Linked DNA regions of Nothobranchius furzeri. The protein of the gene in region 2 interacts with the protein of the main gene of each other region in a biochemical or structural test. Links are inferred from orthologs where the notes say so. Each region holds a gene or a part of one and is shown on either strand. Other genes may lie near its edges. The genes, in order: sf1 and tcerg1b.

Evidence for each region.
Region 1: the proteins of tcerg1b (region 2) and sf1 form a complex in vitro, tested with the Homo sapiens proteins (3 studies listed by BioGRID). The link is inferred for Nothobranchius furzeri from reciprocal best matches to the Homo sapiens genes TCERG1 and SF1.

The regions. Positions count from the first base shown.
Region 1 is NC_091743.1:88,299,839-88,307,731, forward strand, and holds part of sf1 (splicing factor 1), read right to left. Parts: intron 3,587-7,893; coding exon 3,455-3,586; intron 1,732-3,454; coding exon 1,656-1,731; intron 1-1,655. UniProt on the Homo sapiens protein: Necessary for the ATP-dependent first step of spliceosome assembly. Binds to the intron branch point sequence (BPS) 5'-UACUAAC-3' of the pre-mRNA. May act as transcription repressor.
Region 2 is NC_091750.1:56,777,142-56,785,591, forward strand, and holds the start of tcerg1b (transcription elongation regulator 1), read right to left. Parts: upstream 4,409-8,450; 5' UTR 4,367-4,408; coding exon 4,320-4,366; intron 2,078-4,319; coding exon 1,846-2,077; intron 1,411-1,845; coding exon 1,258-1,410; intron 1,104-1,257; coding exon 815-1,103; intron 723-814; coding exon 480-722; intron 82-479; coding exon 22-81; intron 1-21. UniProt on the Homo sapiens protein: Transcription factor that binds RNA polymerase II and inhibits the elongation of transcripts from target promoters. Regulates transcription elongation in a TATA box-dependent manner.

The DNA.
Region 1 (7,893 bases), on a different chromosome or scaffold from region 2:
ACTTCTCCATCAGCTCGAGTGTGGAGTCACACACTCGTATTGATGATGTTTTGTCTTCAGACTTGTCTGTCAGCTGGAGAGTAGCAAAGCAATTCCCAGCCAGGACAACAGGGGGCGTAGCGCAGTGCTGGGGTGTCCTGGCACCACCAGAGTCAAGTATCCGATGCATTCACTACGGAGTTTATATTGTTTCATGTACTTCATAGACGTTTTAACACGAACCGATTTGTCGCCGTTCTCCTCCACCTCTTCACGCCATCGGCACCTTTAAACGCACGTTTCTCTTCGTTTCCATCCACAAATAAGAAAAACGATTGCTTCGTATTTTTGTACTTCAGTCACGGGTGACAAAAATCTTGTATTTTCATCTTCTGCACGGCCTTCAATCTGTTCTGTGTCAGCAGCTAAATAGCTTATTTTTTGAGGGGGCAATGGCGGTGCTGTTGACAACCTAAAAGGAAACAGCATCCCGACCAATCACAAGCTTGCAGCTTCAGTCACTTTTGATGGATAGTTAAAAAGTCGGGCATGTCTCCGTCAGCCTCGGCGAGCCTGCTGAAGAGACCTTGCGACGCACAATGGCGTTGCGTGTCGCCGCACCGATGCAGAGAGAAGAATAAATCAGGCTGTAGGGAGAACCAGGCTCTAACTGAGCAGGAGTAGAAATCCACGTTTGTGTTGTTTTAGTCATTGTCGTTTGACTTGAACCAGTCTTCTGTTTTCAGTGAGAAATCATTGTTGGTGATTTCAGCTGAACAATGTCTGGTTAGACTACAGCTTATTCTAAACTTTACAGCTTACATAAAAGATAAAAGATGTTTATTTCAATGTAACTGAACTGTTGTCTTGGATAAAAATGTGGTGTGTGTGTAAATAAAGGCTGATCGCCCTTGAACCAGATGGAAGGATTTTAGTTGCATTACTGGTTTGATGTTTACTTCTCCCTTGCCTTCTAAAGTTTTCTTAAAGTATGTTAATATGTGGCAAAAAGATCCCCACGCTAACGTCACCCACGCTTCCTGTTTGAAAAATGCCCCACAAGGAGGCCGAGAGGGTGGCACTGCGGCGGCGACTTAACCATTGGTGTTCCAAGTGTTTCTCCTTCATGTCGACTATTTTCTCACCTTTCTATGATGTCACATTTTTATTTGATCACATTGCTGTTAACTGGAGGCTTAACTAAATGTGATCTGAAGCTGCAAAAGGAAACAAAGCAAATAAAGCTAAACCTGATGAGTTCTGCATCAACGGCCTGCAGCCTCAGGCTGCATCGATCCAATCTCTACGGTTTATTTGTTGTATTTATGGAAACACAACAGTTAATTATTTAAGCATAAGTTAATTTAACCATTAGAAAGCTTTACTTTATACATCAAACATATTTTGACACCCATTCATTTCCATACTGACTAAAATCCTTACAAAAAGAACCACAGATAAACAAATTATATCTTTCTGAAGCTAGCAACTCTAGGAACTGTGGTGCTGTAGTGAGTAATAGTTCTAGCAAAGTGAGGACATCGAGGTGCCCTCAAACTTTTCACTAAACATGACATTTAAACTAACCACACTCAAATACAAGTCAATGTTTGCTTTCCAAATAGTCAAGAAGGTAGAGAAAGTGTTACTGTTTGAGGGTTTAATCTTTTTCCGACCTGTCCTCAGGGTTAACAGGGATTCCCAGGTCTCCTGTACGCAGTTTACGAGTCAGGTCTTCAATCTGCAGTTGGACTGGAAGAATTCAGGTTAGGAAAGAAAAACAAGGATGGAGAGAAATGTGGTTACCACAACAATATCAGAGAGACAACGCTCTGCACTTCAGAGCAATGTCTCAGTCATTACTGCTTTAAACATATTTGGTGAATCTGCCAAATAAAAAGGAAGTTCAAACAAACATCTGATAAAACTCAAGCATGAAACCAATTACTGGTTTTGGTGAGACCACACTATCAAAATGTTTATAAAGTCATTCAAATTGGCGTTAGAAGAGAAAAACTTGCTCTTCGATCATGATTAAGCATGACGACATGTCAAATGATGAAACCATGACTCCTAAACAGCCAGCCATATCATTACGTCTACAAACAAGGCCGAGGTACTTCTATGAATATGGGACGGCTCTCTGGGATTCTGAGGACGCATGTTTGTCCATTTGTTTTGCAGATTTGAACAACAAAACTGGCGATAAGCCACTTTTTGCACTCCACAGGTCTAACACTGAGGGGTTGCTGTGACACAGAAACAAGTCTTGCATTTAGAAGACAATGAAGAAATAAAATAGATCAGTCATTTCATGCACATTATGGAAGTTGTGAAGAAGAATCCCCTTGAACACAGATTCAGTGATCACTGAAACAATTACTCTGGGTTATTCAGATGAATACAGGCCTGATGCTCACATCTTAAAACTCTTGTTTTAGGGGATCTACTGAACGAGCAAAAGAAGCTAGAAGTGTGACAGAAGGTGAGCACAAATGAATGTTTACATACCAAGGAAAAGCAACCATTACCAATGAGAGACTAGTTAAAGGCAATTATTTCCTTTAAAAGAGGATGTTTGAGCAATACTGCTTCTAGAAGACTAGATCCCTCTTCTTTCTGGGAAGAGGCAACGATAAACTCTGTGCAACCTCGGATTAGTGGCTTATTGGTGAGTTGAGATTTTGTTTGTTCTTCGGCCCCCAAAAACAGACTAATCTAAACAGTTTCTGTTACCTACAGGTTTCAATGTGAAACTGAATTATTTTCCATTGGTTCAATTTCATATCTAGGTCCACCTCAAACGGCCCTAACCCAAAAATCTGTGGGTTTTTTTTGGGTCAGCAGCTGTAATGCTGTCGGTCCTGCCTAAAAGATACAAATCTTAGTCTTTTATGAATAAAGTTTGATATTGGTCTATATTCTACTAGTCTAATTATTTTAGCATTGGTTCTCTTCTGCAACAGGAAGAATCTGTGTAAACCCAACTGAAGCAGCATTGCCCACATTCAGGCCAATTATCCTCTACCACGCAGAGTAATGAGGATGTGTTGAACGAGCGGCAGCGTGGCGGTTTTCAGCAAACAGACGTTTGATCAACTATCACCAACTCTTGTTAATGGCTGCCCAATGGTATGCAAACTGGGGGACTACAAAACAGCAGAAACACTCAAAGGGAAATGAACAGAAACCTCACAACAGCATTATTATTATTATATTGCTTAGTAAGAATGATTATTTTGTCTCAACAGTTGGAGCAAAATAAGACATTTCCACCTTTTAGCAAGAAGAACAGTGAAAAGAACTTTATCTGACTTTGAATTAGCATTGCCTTAGAAAGCTCAAACTGTTGGGAATTCAGGAAAAAGGAAATAGCCTAGATGCTGGTACCATAAGAGAAAACTAGAACCTTCAACAAAACAGTAACATCCAGTAACTGACATGGTAAACTTTGGTAAAGACGAACATCATTTACCTATATACGCCCTCTCCTGATCTCGCGTGAGTCCAGGGGGAATAACAGTGGGCATCCCCGGTATAACAGTCTTCTGATCAGGGGTCTCACTGCTCCATCGACTCCTCTTCCTAGTTTTCTTCTGGCCGAAATCTAAACAAGAAAAATTAACCCATGAATTTTACTTTACCCCTTTATGAGAAGCGTTATTCAAATTCTACATCAAATGTCAGAGAAAAGAAGATGCTATCTGATGTAGCCTCTGGCTAGGGCAGTAGCGAAGCCTCGACGACGTCGACGGCTCGATTCTAAAAATTTGTCGACGTCAGATCCGGAAGTCGATGCACCGCGCCCACTTGTTGCATCCCCAGGAGTTTGTGGAATCTGCCTGTTTTTCCTCCTCTAGTTCGCCCTCTTCTCCGCCTTCACTAACATCTCCGCCAAATACCGAAGACCTGGAACAATGTCCGTCCACAACTAGATTATTTTCCTGTTTTGCCCGCCTTCGTCTCCCGGCAACGGACAACAACTTCCGGGGTCAGATGCGCTGCTTCGTCTCTACCGCAGATGTAGAAAATCACCGGGAGCGTTTCTCCCTTCATAAAGGAGCTTCTTTCAGACATTAGGAGAGCTGTGCTGGTGGTAGCAGTCTCTCCTCCGTGCTGGTCTGTTTGCTGCTGGGTGTTTTTGGTTTATTTAAACTTGGTGACTTGAACTTAACGTTGGTAAAGCTACTGTTAGCATCTTCGCTAACAGCTTCTTGCGTTTGGATAAGCTGTTACGTTTTGGTTTAGAGTTCATCTTTTTTGTGGTGCAGATCTCCCTTTTATTACATTTAGAGTGTTGTGGGTTTTCGGTTTAGTTTAAAATATCACCTTGAGTTTGGTTTCACCGCCCAGTTTAGAGTTGGACCTTTGGAGATCCTTATTTTGGTCCAGAACCCTGTAATCTTTGCCCAGTGGGACATCCCCACTTATTTGTACTTTTGTTTTAATTCCACACAGGCAGAATTAGTTTTATTATTCCCAACCTGCGGATGGAAAGATTTATGTTTTTTTGTAGTTGTAAACAAACCTGATCATCATTTTAACTTTTAAATCCCGTTATTGTCCCTTCCTTTTTGCACACGAGCCAAACTCCCCAGGAAGGGTCGTAACACCACTCGCCTCACGCACATAAGTGACCAAAACAAAGCAGCATGGAGACACTCCGTCTCCAACCACCTCTCAGGCAGCAGCCTGCACTCCCAAGATCTACACGTCACCAGAACATAACCAACCAACACAATAAAAGCAGTGTTGTACAAAATGGAAGGCCTGTAGTGTTTATTCTCTTACAGTAACAATTGATCAATGTTTTTGAGGAATTTATTTGAGATTTTCTGGTTTTTGTTAATTGTGCAATAGAAAAATAATCATTAGACTAATTTTCTAAATACTCATTAGAATAGTCGACTATTTGATAAAATAATCGTCAGAATAGGGCTGGGCGATATATCGATATTCTTTAAATATCGGTATAATTTTTAAACAAGATATAAGATGACTATATCTTTATATCGATATAACTGGCCAAACTGCTATGCTAGCGATTAGCCGCTATGCTAGCGACATGTTGCTCCGTCTCTAAGCAGCCATTACGTATATTCTCACAAGTTTGCTCAGTCTGAGAGCCTCTGGGTAAATGTGCTGCTCTAAACTTTGCATTTGGCCTCCTGGTTTTTAATTATTTGGGGACGTTCAATGCCAACGGTTTTCCATCCTGCTTGTGCAGAGAGACGAGCCAAACCCCTCCCTCCCCTGTGTAATGAGGAAACGGCTACGGAAAGCCGGAGTGGCCAAATGACCTGAAACATATTTAAGGGTTTGAATAGTAAACTATAGGGTTACCGTTTTATTTTGAAGGCGAACTCAACGGGTGAGAAATGTTGTTCCGGTTCCGTTTTTTTCCGTTCTGGTTTGCTATGCTAGTAAATACTCCGTTACGAGTGACTCTGATGAAAAAGTTGAGTTTGTAAGGTGTGGGTTATGGCGACAGTAGCCCGAAAATAACACTCATAAAAGCAACCAGAGACTCTGAATCATTACAGTATAATCGCTGATATGAGCCAACACTGCTAACTAATAACTAACGACTAGTTAATAACTAGTTTTTCTAATAACTAATAACTCCATGGTGCATGACCCATGTGATCTTCAGTAGATGCAATTACATCATCGTACATTTAGCTTAACATGATGGATTTTTTTTCTCTGGACAAGATCTATACAATATGGGCCACCTCTAGATGAAATTTAAATAATTTCACATTAATTATAAATATATAATTAAAAAGTGCCTGTGGGACATTTGATACACCTCTGGCTCTCAACTGTGTGTGTGTGTGTGTGTGTGTGTGTGTGTGTGTGTGTTAGCAGACATCTGTACCTGTGTTACTAAAGCTCAGACTGGTAGAGAATAGGCACTACGGTTAAAGTTTGACCAGAATCAATACATTTTTATGCATTTAACCTACTGATTTATGTATATAATTTCTCAAGAGCTTGAAGTGAGTTAACTTGTCAACAGTTTACAGGAGGAAAAATATCGAGATATATATCGTATATCGGAATTCAGCTTAAAGATATCGAGATATAAGTTTTGGTCCATATCGCCCAGCCCTACGTTAGAATAATCGTTTTAAAAATAATCGTTTTCCCCCAGCCCTACCGCTGACTGGTGTCAAATGCCTAAGTACAAAGTTGAAAGGAAAACAATGTCCAAACTATTTCTATTAATTGGGAAAATGGCTTTTGTCACAACTGGTAAAGAACGCAGGAAAGCACACGCCAACCAAAACAATGGGAGCGGAAGCAGTCCTGTCATGTTAGAAAATTGTAAACACCTCAAGCAGAGGCCCAACTTGAGCTGATTAAATTTATATCTGTAATAATGCATTCGTGATTAAAACATTGGCAGCAGATGTCATTGCTTTTAAACTAGTGTATTCAAGACAAAAGCTTTAGTTAACCCAGAATTCAACATAGCAGTAGGGTTGTCACGGTGTGAAAATTTAACCTCACGGTTATTGTGACCAAAATTACCACGGTTTTCGGTATTATCACGGAAGTTTTTTTAAACGTGTTACATTTTCACACAATTAAATAAACCCTGTATGTCAGGAAATATTGTCCTCAGTTTGTGTCTAAATTTTGCCTAAAATGTGTTATTTTGTAATTATGTTGTTTATTTGTTTATATTTTTCCCTTTAGTCTTTAAAATACCAATATTTGCCCATAACTTCTTATTTTGTCTGTTTGATGTCATCATTTAAAAATATTAGACCAGATGATACTCAGTACTCAAGTAGCCTTCTAATCAGATACTTTTTTACCCTTACTTGAGTAATAAACCCTATATCAGGAAAATATCGTCCTCGGTTTGTGTCCTTCCAGTGAGCTTTGCAGATGTGGGAAAATGTCATCAGGCAGTAATCATTGTTAAATTCATAATTATTCTCAGAGAGAGACCAACTCTTATCCGCCCCTGGGAGCCCCGTAATGCATAGCGTCATTTCAACATGGGGGGTGTCCGCGACACGGTTTATATGCAGGTAGCGGCGCTGCAGCTGCTTTATATAGCGACTCGTTGCGTTCTCCCTCAACCCAAATCCTCGGATCACGCATTTTAGCTAAAACGCTAACGTTAGCTTGCCTTGCGTTGACTGTAGAGTTGTGGGTGATGGTCACGCAGATGTGTCATGAGATTTGAAGCGTTGCTGCCTTTCACAGACACTTTTTCTGCACGTGCTGCAAACAGGATAGCAGTCTTCTATCAACTGTCCCTCGGCATTCTTCAGATATCGAAAACATGCCCGTACTTCCCACTTTGTCTTCTTTGAGGGATAATAAATGTCCTCCTGAGCGCTGCCGTCTCCTCCTTTGGCCATTATTTCAGCTTTAGCTTCAAGGCTATTAAAAGGCTGTTTTACTATCTAACGCTGTAAAACGCCTCACAACGCATTTTTATCAAAATAAATGATCACTGTATATTGTTAATTCAAATAATATAATATTGATTTAGTGTTGTAGTGTGTGTGCTGCTTTATTTTATATGTGTACTTATTTCAGTCTATTTGTGTTTCTTATGCAGAAAAAAACAAGCAACGATGGACAACTACATGGGGAACAAGACACTCACCCCCCCCCAGCAATGCATACCACTTACAAACTCTATTCTAGATTCTACATAATTTTTCATGGAATTTACCGCTTATATTTTGATGCCAAAAAATTATTCAGGACTGATATTTTTCACTGTTTAGCTTATTTTACACCGCTGACTGTGTTCATGTGCAATAAAATCGATTGCAGTCAACTGCATAATTCTCCTATGTTTTTCTTTTTCTTAACTGAAATGTATTCATCACTTGTATAGGTTAAATAGCTAAACAATAACAAACCGATTAATCGATAAAAATT
Region 2 (8,450 bases):
GGAGAGCAGCTGGGTGTTTACCGTTGGCGCTGGGGCCTGCCTTTACACAGGGAGCACCTACTATCTGCACCATTGCTACACCTGCAAGAACAACGGACAAGCAAGCATGTGGTTGAACACAGCAGGACACCAGACATCAGCTACCATGGTGTGCACGAGTGTGTGGTCCCAATCAGACACTAAGATACTACACACCCGTTATTAAATGACAACAAAACGTTATGTAGCGCTACAGTAAATCTGATCCCTTTATGTACTAAAAAACACATTTTTCCTATAAGCATCACAAAAAAATGACTACAGTACTCCCCCACCCGCACATGTTGACACTTAGCAGAGGTGATGCTACGAGGAGCCGCACAGCAACAAGACAAAACACTCAAAAGTTTGTTCCATGTGTCCCTGAATCTTAAAGGTTGAGCTAACCAACTGCAGCCTTAGCAGCAAAACGATCCTTCCAGTGCAACAGTTCCACTCACCTGGCAGAGGAATGTGCATGCCGGGTAAAGGCACCCGGAACGGTGGCACCATGACGGGGGGGAAGGCAGGTATGGCTGCAGTAGGCTGGGCCACACTGTGAGGCAAAGCTGCAGGCAGCAGTGGCACAGTCTGAACGGCTGTGACAGGTGACGGCACCGTGGAAACGGTCACCACGGTGACCGGCGACACAGCAACAGTGGATGTAACTGTGGCAACAGGAGGGTGGTCTGCTACGACGGTGGCTGCAGAAGACAGAAATTGAATAATAATAAGAGAAATGGTTACTTTCTGATTTTGTTTGCACGATCTGTTGGTCGTTGATGCACAGCTTTACCTGCAATGGACACAGAGGGGGAAGCGGTGGTGATGGGGTCAGGACTGGAGGTGAGCGTGTGGGATGGGGTTGAGGATGGGGCTTGAGTGGGAGAGGCTGCTCCGGCTGTGCTGGCCGTGGTGTTCCCGCTGCTGGAGCTGACAGCTGCAGTCACACCCACACTAGGCCCCGAGCCTGCAGCTGCAGGCCCCGCTACCAGGAGAGGGTTGAGTTCAGACTGCTGGATGACCTTCACACCTTCTGGTTTACTCCAGGATGACTCCCTGGTCCGAGCGTTATAGTAATATGCCTGTGAGGGTAACGAGAGGAACTTGTCATCTAGTCTGTAAACACAACTTGAGATTTAGTCTTCATAAAAAATCTGGAAAAACTGCATAAATTAAAAAAAATATATATAATCAGTCTCACTAGAGAAACCTGCATAAACCAAACTTCCATCTGACCTTTCCGTCCGGTGTCTTGTTCTCGACCCAGATCTCCTCAGCAGGACTGAGAGTGGGGTTTCCAGATGAAGGGACAGGGGGCATTCCAGGAGGAAACAACATCCCAGGAGGAGGCGGCAAGTTTCCAATAGGAGGGGGGAGAAACGGAGGTCTCTGCAGAACAAAAACAAAACACAAAAACAGCATTTCACTTTTGTAATCTAAATCAAATAATTGTAAAACATTTAGGCGGATTTCTCTCTAAAATGCAGTTATATGGCTAAATTATGTCTGTTTCTTTGCAGACAGCAAATATGAGAGCTATACGTTAAAAAAAATCTGTTTTTATTTTGTTTTCCTCTTTTCTATGTTCAATCCATACTGTTAACAAGATTCTGAATGGGTAAATAAAATTAATCGTAGCTTTTTATGTAGTAAGCCTGCATAAAAAAGCAAACATGTAGCAATTAAGCTAAAAATTATCATTTTCTGATTTATCCATATGCCACTGTTATCTGAACTGTATGTCAAATCCAGCTTATTAGCTTTAGACAACATTGTGACTCCTAAAAACAAACATAAACATGTTTGCTTGAAGCTAAAAAGCACCTGGAGGTGAGGAGGTCCGATGGGTGGTGGCATGCCTCCTGGTGGTGGGATGGGTGGCATGTTGGGGTCAAAGGGTGGGCGTGAGAATGGAGGTCTTGGCGGGGGTCCCCTCATCATTCCAAACGGTGGTGGAGGTGGTCTGAGGAGGGGCGGAGGTCCCCGTAACACCGGGGTCTGAGCGGGTGCAGCGGCAGGGGCAGGGCTGCGAAACTGCACTGCCTGCTGCATTATCCTAACAAAACAACGCAGAGTTATGCACAAGTCATAAAAGAAGAAATGCACGATACTCAAACTTGTAAACAAGAGACAGGATGAAAAATACCCAACAAAATGCCAAAGTAGTCATGTGAAAAGTCGTTACATTAAATTTAAAGGTTTTTTAACGCAAAGTTTCGTGTTTTCTACTTACAAAAATGCTGTTTAAGCCAAGCCAGAGCCAAGAAAAACACAAACTGTAATAAGAATATTCCGTTGCAAAATCAATACTAATGCATTACATACACGGTGGTGATTACATGATTATAGGGCTGCACAATATATCGAAAAATTATCGTCATCGCGATAACACGTGCGATAGGCCCATTGCAAAACACGGCAAAAACAGCAATAAATGTTTGGTTCAAACATTTCCATCAGTGTCATACATCAGCTTTTTGTAAACCAGCTCTGTTTTTTACGCGGAAGTATTATTTGACCAAATGTAGTCCTTCTGATATGCGGCCAATCAGATGGTTTTGTTCGTGTAATACGCCCGCCCCCTACGTAGACCCTTTTGGAAAGCAACACCCGAACAGAGTTAGCGGCGCCATTCCCTTGTTCGCCTTCTGGCTCAGAGCAACGAACGCACTTTGTGCTGATGTTTCTGTTATCAGCGTTGCTTTCAAACGTGAACGCGAGTCCGCTCGGTGTCGTTAATCATTTTTACCGGGCTGACTCCGACATGTGCCGGTGAACCAACCCACCTTCATGTCGCTAGTGTTCCACCGGGTGGTGATGTTAGCCCCAGGCTCCGGTTAGCTTCCAGCTAAAAGGCTACAGCACTCTCCTCCCAGTCCCACCCTGCTAAAGTGGGCCTGGAAAAGTTCCCCCACACATCAAAGTGATTTTTCATTTATGAGCTTTTATAACCTTGTTAATCAGGATAGTTGATTTGCTGCTGCACATAAACTGTCAGTCAGAAGCTCTGCTAGCCGGTTATCTTAAGACGAGCTAGTTCAATTTGTTAGCTTGTTATCAGAATCATAATTGCAGTTTCATCATCTGAGTTGCTTTTTAAGATCTAGGTAAACTTGTTCAATTTGGGGTTAAAAACAAACGTTTTCACATATTTTCCATGTAGTTTTTTACCAGTTCCTCTTCTGAAAGACAATTGTTTTTCTCTTTCCCTCAGAAAATCTTAATATTCTCCTAGTTTGGCCCAGCACAGTTCACTTCCCAATTACAGCAACAGCCTTATATCATAACCACATAAGTGGAGAAAATGCTCAATAGCAATGAGAGAATTTGCTGTTGCATTTAAGTGATGTTAACTATTATTTAACATTTAAACTTATTTTCTGATTGTTTTTATTTATTCAAACAACACTGGTAAGGGATGTTTTTCTGTATTTGGAGCATCAGAAAAAGTTTTATGGTGGAGGTGATGTTTTAAAGTCACTGAGAAACTGCATGCATGCAGATGTTGTTTTGCTGCTAATACAGTAGCAGGTGCAGCTGCATATTTTGGCAATAAAAATGTTATGCTGTAATGGAATTCATGCATTAGTTTTTGTTTGCTTTAAACCCAGAGCAGACGTCACACGCCAGATGACAACACTACATACTTTAGGATTTGTTTATTTATCGCGAGTAATATCGATATCACAATATTAAGCACTGTTATCGAATATCGCAGGTTTTCCTAATATCGTGCAGCCCTACATGATTATTTATCAATCTAAAAAGTTAAGTGTAGCATGGGGACAGCTTCTGACGCATTCAATTTTGCAATTACGTTTTTGTTTAAACTGTCAAGTTAGTACAGATGCTTGTGTGTGTGTAAAACCTTTTTGAGGGCATGTCCAGTAATCCGTGCACGTAGACACAATCAAAATTTTGTCGTCTGATGCTAACCAAACTAACAGAAACACACACCATTCAAAAGACTAAAGAAAATGATCCGCGCTTCTGTTTACAAACACATACAGGCTTGGTATTATTTGTTTAAACGTGTACTGTCTAAACAGAAGATCAGGGCCTTGGGAGATAAGAATTCCGTTTATACTAGAAAAATGTCTGTTTACCGCCCGCTACAAGCAGGACGAGACCTGCAACATGGGCTAACTAGCAACAAGCTAGTTAGCTGGCGTGGCTACATTCACCAATAAACCCGCTGATTATTACGAAGATTCCGCCAGAACTACATATGCATATGACATTTTAGATTGTGATCAATTTAACGATAATCTCACGTTCACGTTGAACGACAAATTCACCTGTTGTCGTTAAACCCAACAGTATCGGTCTCTGCCTGGTCCGCCATTACAGGAAAATGTTAATTGATCTCTTCCTGGAAACGCCCCTAAGAGGGTTTGCCCTTTTCCCATTGGCTGATCTTTGACGTCAACATCGATGCCGTCTGAGCAACGCTCGCACCTATTGGATAATACTCCTCTCGCGTAACTTCAGCAAATCAGTCATTGGCTAATATGGGTCTCATTTCTTTTACACGTCTTTGTTCAGTCCGGTTGTTGATAAATAGTTTAAATTAGCTTGAATGTGATGTAGATTTATTTGAATTAGGCACATTTGAATGTTTTACGCAGGAAAATGTCTTTACTGTTTAGTTATCATAGTCATACTGTTGCACTACTGAAATGTAGTATTAGATCTTCTCTGCACTTTTTCTAAGTTTGTATTACTCAAGACGTTCTGGCTTTCCCGTTATCTTGAAGAACCATGCAGTTAACGCTAATTTAAAAACCATAGCAAATTGTAAGTGGTATATTCTATATAGATTAAATTTACAGGACGTGCTAATCAGTTGTCTTGTTTAGCTTTTTGATGGCTGTAGTAACCCCGTGTCCACTAGAGAGAGGTAAACACCCCTCCTTAGTAAGCCAGATACTAAAGGATTGGGTTTTATCCATTATATATATATATATATATATATATATATATATATATATACCTGATATATATATATATATATATATATATATATATATATATATATATATATATATATATATATACCTGATATATATCAGGTATGTTGCAATCAATCAAGTTAAATGATGAATTACAAGTAATTGAATTAAACGTATATTTAGACAAAAAAACTGTAAAAATTCTTTTATTTATTTGAGTGTTTTATACATTCATGGTGAAATCCTAATACATTATTGCTTTTCCTTTAAAACAAAATGTGTACCTTTTATATATTTTAATTCAATGTATGTGTGTTTTTTAGATGCAGTTGGGTATTTATTGATCTTTGAACTAAACAATAAATGATGATAAATGACCCCCACTTGTATAGCACCTTTCAGAGTCAGCAGCAATCAAGGACACAACAGCAACATTCTCTGTCTGGAGCCGGGATTGAATCTGCAACCATCCAAATGCTGGACAACCCCCTCTACCTCCTGAGCTACTGCTGCCCAACAAATAACTAAAAGTTCTATATCTGCAGTGTTTGATTAGAAATTACAAATGTATGCTGTTAACAATTTCTAATTGAATATATTTATTTTATATTGCCTATTGCTAACTTAATTTAATTTAGTAAGAATGGATGTAGTTTTACCAGGTGGCCACCATATCACAAAAAAACAGTAATTTCCAAAAATTTGCTGATTTAATTTGATACAAATTTTATTGATTTGATTAAACAAGTTTAAGTTATGTGCAACATATTATATTGAATTGGTTCGGGGCAAAATAGAAAATGAGTAATAATTAATAACTAGATTTTATAATAACAAATGCAAGTAGAAGAAAACATTTCCAAACTGTTTTTATTCACAATAAAAACGTGGAAACTTTCCAATGTTCATTTGTTAGAGCTGTCTATATACGGACAGTATTTAACCCTAAATATAATATTATCCAAATACAGTGCATCCGAAAAGTATTCATAGCGCTTCTTCTGCTGTTGTGTGTCTTGAAGATCAAGATACATATTATACCTTTAGCGGTTCTTTTCATATTTTTTGATTAGCTCTAATCGTAACCACACAAAGCCAGCAGAGCTTTAAATCTTCTGGCTTCTTTGTGGCCTCATGAACTCTTCATTTAGCTCTTTGAGTAATTTTGGTAGGTTGGCAACTTAAGCTGGGAATAAACTTGCTTTTCATCCTCAAGTCCAGGCAGGCAGCTGGCTGTCTTTGTTCACATCCTTGCTGCTGCACTGCATGTAGTACTAGACTGTTCCACTAGGGGGAACTCAGACCAGACAGAGTTCTAGGTTTGTATGTGTCAATCAATGTATGTATGTCCATGGTGTCAATGGGTACAACCAAAACAAACATGGCGTCAACAGAAGAGATCATTTACTGGTTAATTTTGAGATCAAAACAGAAAATAGATGGTAAAAAAAACCCTCAAAACCAGAGACGGAGTGACCATGGAGAGCTTTTCTCTTTCGTTTTGTCAACCTCACCTACTGGTAACTTGTATGTTGCAGCTTGCAAACGCGTCAAGTTAATTTCAGGGGACACATATAAACAACGCTTCAAATCAACTAGTTACACGAGGCAGCCATCTTTAAACACGTGTGTGCAAGTCTAAAAATGTAAGACAATATCGATACATCGCATTATATCAATATATTGTGATATTTCACCTTACAATACTGAGTTGATATGTAAAAGCAGTGTATCTATATTTTATTTATATTTAATTGAGAATTTACATGCAATTATTTTCTGTACTTTTGTGGTGCAATTCAAACTCCGACTGCTAGGTGACAGTAGCTTTTAACGCCTTCATTCTGATGTAAAACTCTGGAGGTGTCTTGCCTTGAGTCAATTCAGTGTTACATATTTTAAATACCATCTGGCGTTTAGTACAATATATGTGTCATCTCTCCTGTTTTGTGATTTATATCTCATCACCAAATTCTTGCAGACACACCCCCTACTGGTCACTCTCAGGAAGGTTCTTTAAGGGGCCATATATTTTTTCCATTTGCAACCCTTTCTTCAGTGATGGAGCAGAAAGCCTGGGTGCAGCTGAAATTGAGCTATTCTTTTCAAATAATGTCAACAAATGAGGAATCTCTGGATTTAAGGTTTATAACTTAATTTAATGTTGAGTGAAGTACAGAAAACAAGTACAATCAAATCAAAACGTCCTGCTGAAGGAAAAGAAAAGCATTATTCAAGTCAACTAAATTCGATTAGCTGTAATTCTCCTGTATGAACATGACTTCACAAGTAAACTAATAAAATATTTAAAGGAAGTCTATGGAATTATCCTTCTGAGAGTAACAAAATAAAGATTTGGTCTTTTGGAGGACAGTGCCTCAGAAAATGATAAGCTGTGTTTGCACGTCAAACCAAGATACACAACGCCATTCGCTCACTTCTCACACAAACCGTTTTTGGATTGATCTCTGCTAGACTTAAAATTCATCATTTAAACAAAGGAAATGTATCTTATGTTAAATGTAGGACAGGTCCCACTCCCAAAATGTGGTTTATGAGATGATCAGAGTGAGGAATGTCTGCTTGTAAAAATACTTTTTGAAGATTTACACCAATATTTCTGCTTTGAGTCATGTGCTGTAAACATAAAACACACAGTGTGAAAAGAAACGCTGCATGGTCCCAGGTGTGAGAACACAAAATAGCATAATAATCAGGCATGACAAATTAAACACAACCCAGGAAGAGCTCCACAATAATCAACCTTTTAATTTGCTAAATAAATGTAAAAGGGGGGGCAGACACGGAGAAACGAGGAATTACCGTTTCTGCCCTTCATTTGAATGCCACCCACTCTCGTGTGGCTCCAGTGGAAGTACTTCTACTTCTACTGGAGGGCCAGAGTACACTTTCATACACGTACTACTTTCCTGGAACACCTTGGAATATCATGTCTGGAGCATCACGCTGCACATGTCTGGGTTGCTTTACTCACCTTAATGATCCTGTAATCACAGAAACAAACGTTTGCGTGACTGTTTTATATGTAGAAAAGATCCAACGCCCTTACTGATTCTTTTTAGGAAGTGAAACAAACAGAATAAAAGCCTTAAAACACATGCCCTGTGTCACTTCTTATGTTTTAAAATGGCTTAAAAATTCTGACTGAATCAGGTTAAACATGTTGGGCTACAAACCTAAATAAAGACGACAAAATCAGTTTGTTTAGTTTCGGATTAACTGATTGGATTATTTATGACGCAATGAGGGAAAAGCTGAATAAAGGTTTTTTTTTTGTATAAAAACAGGTTTTTCTGAAAGGGACATAATGACTATAGGTTATGTGTCACACCTTCACAGCCCCTCTGTGTTCCTCTGCGTGGTAATTTGTAAAAAATCTAATCACCACTGCGTGAGGAGCAGCAGAGGGACGCTGGGACGGCGAGCAATCACTGGTGCCAGCTCACAAAAAAGAGC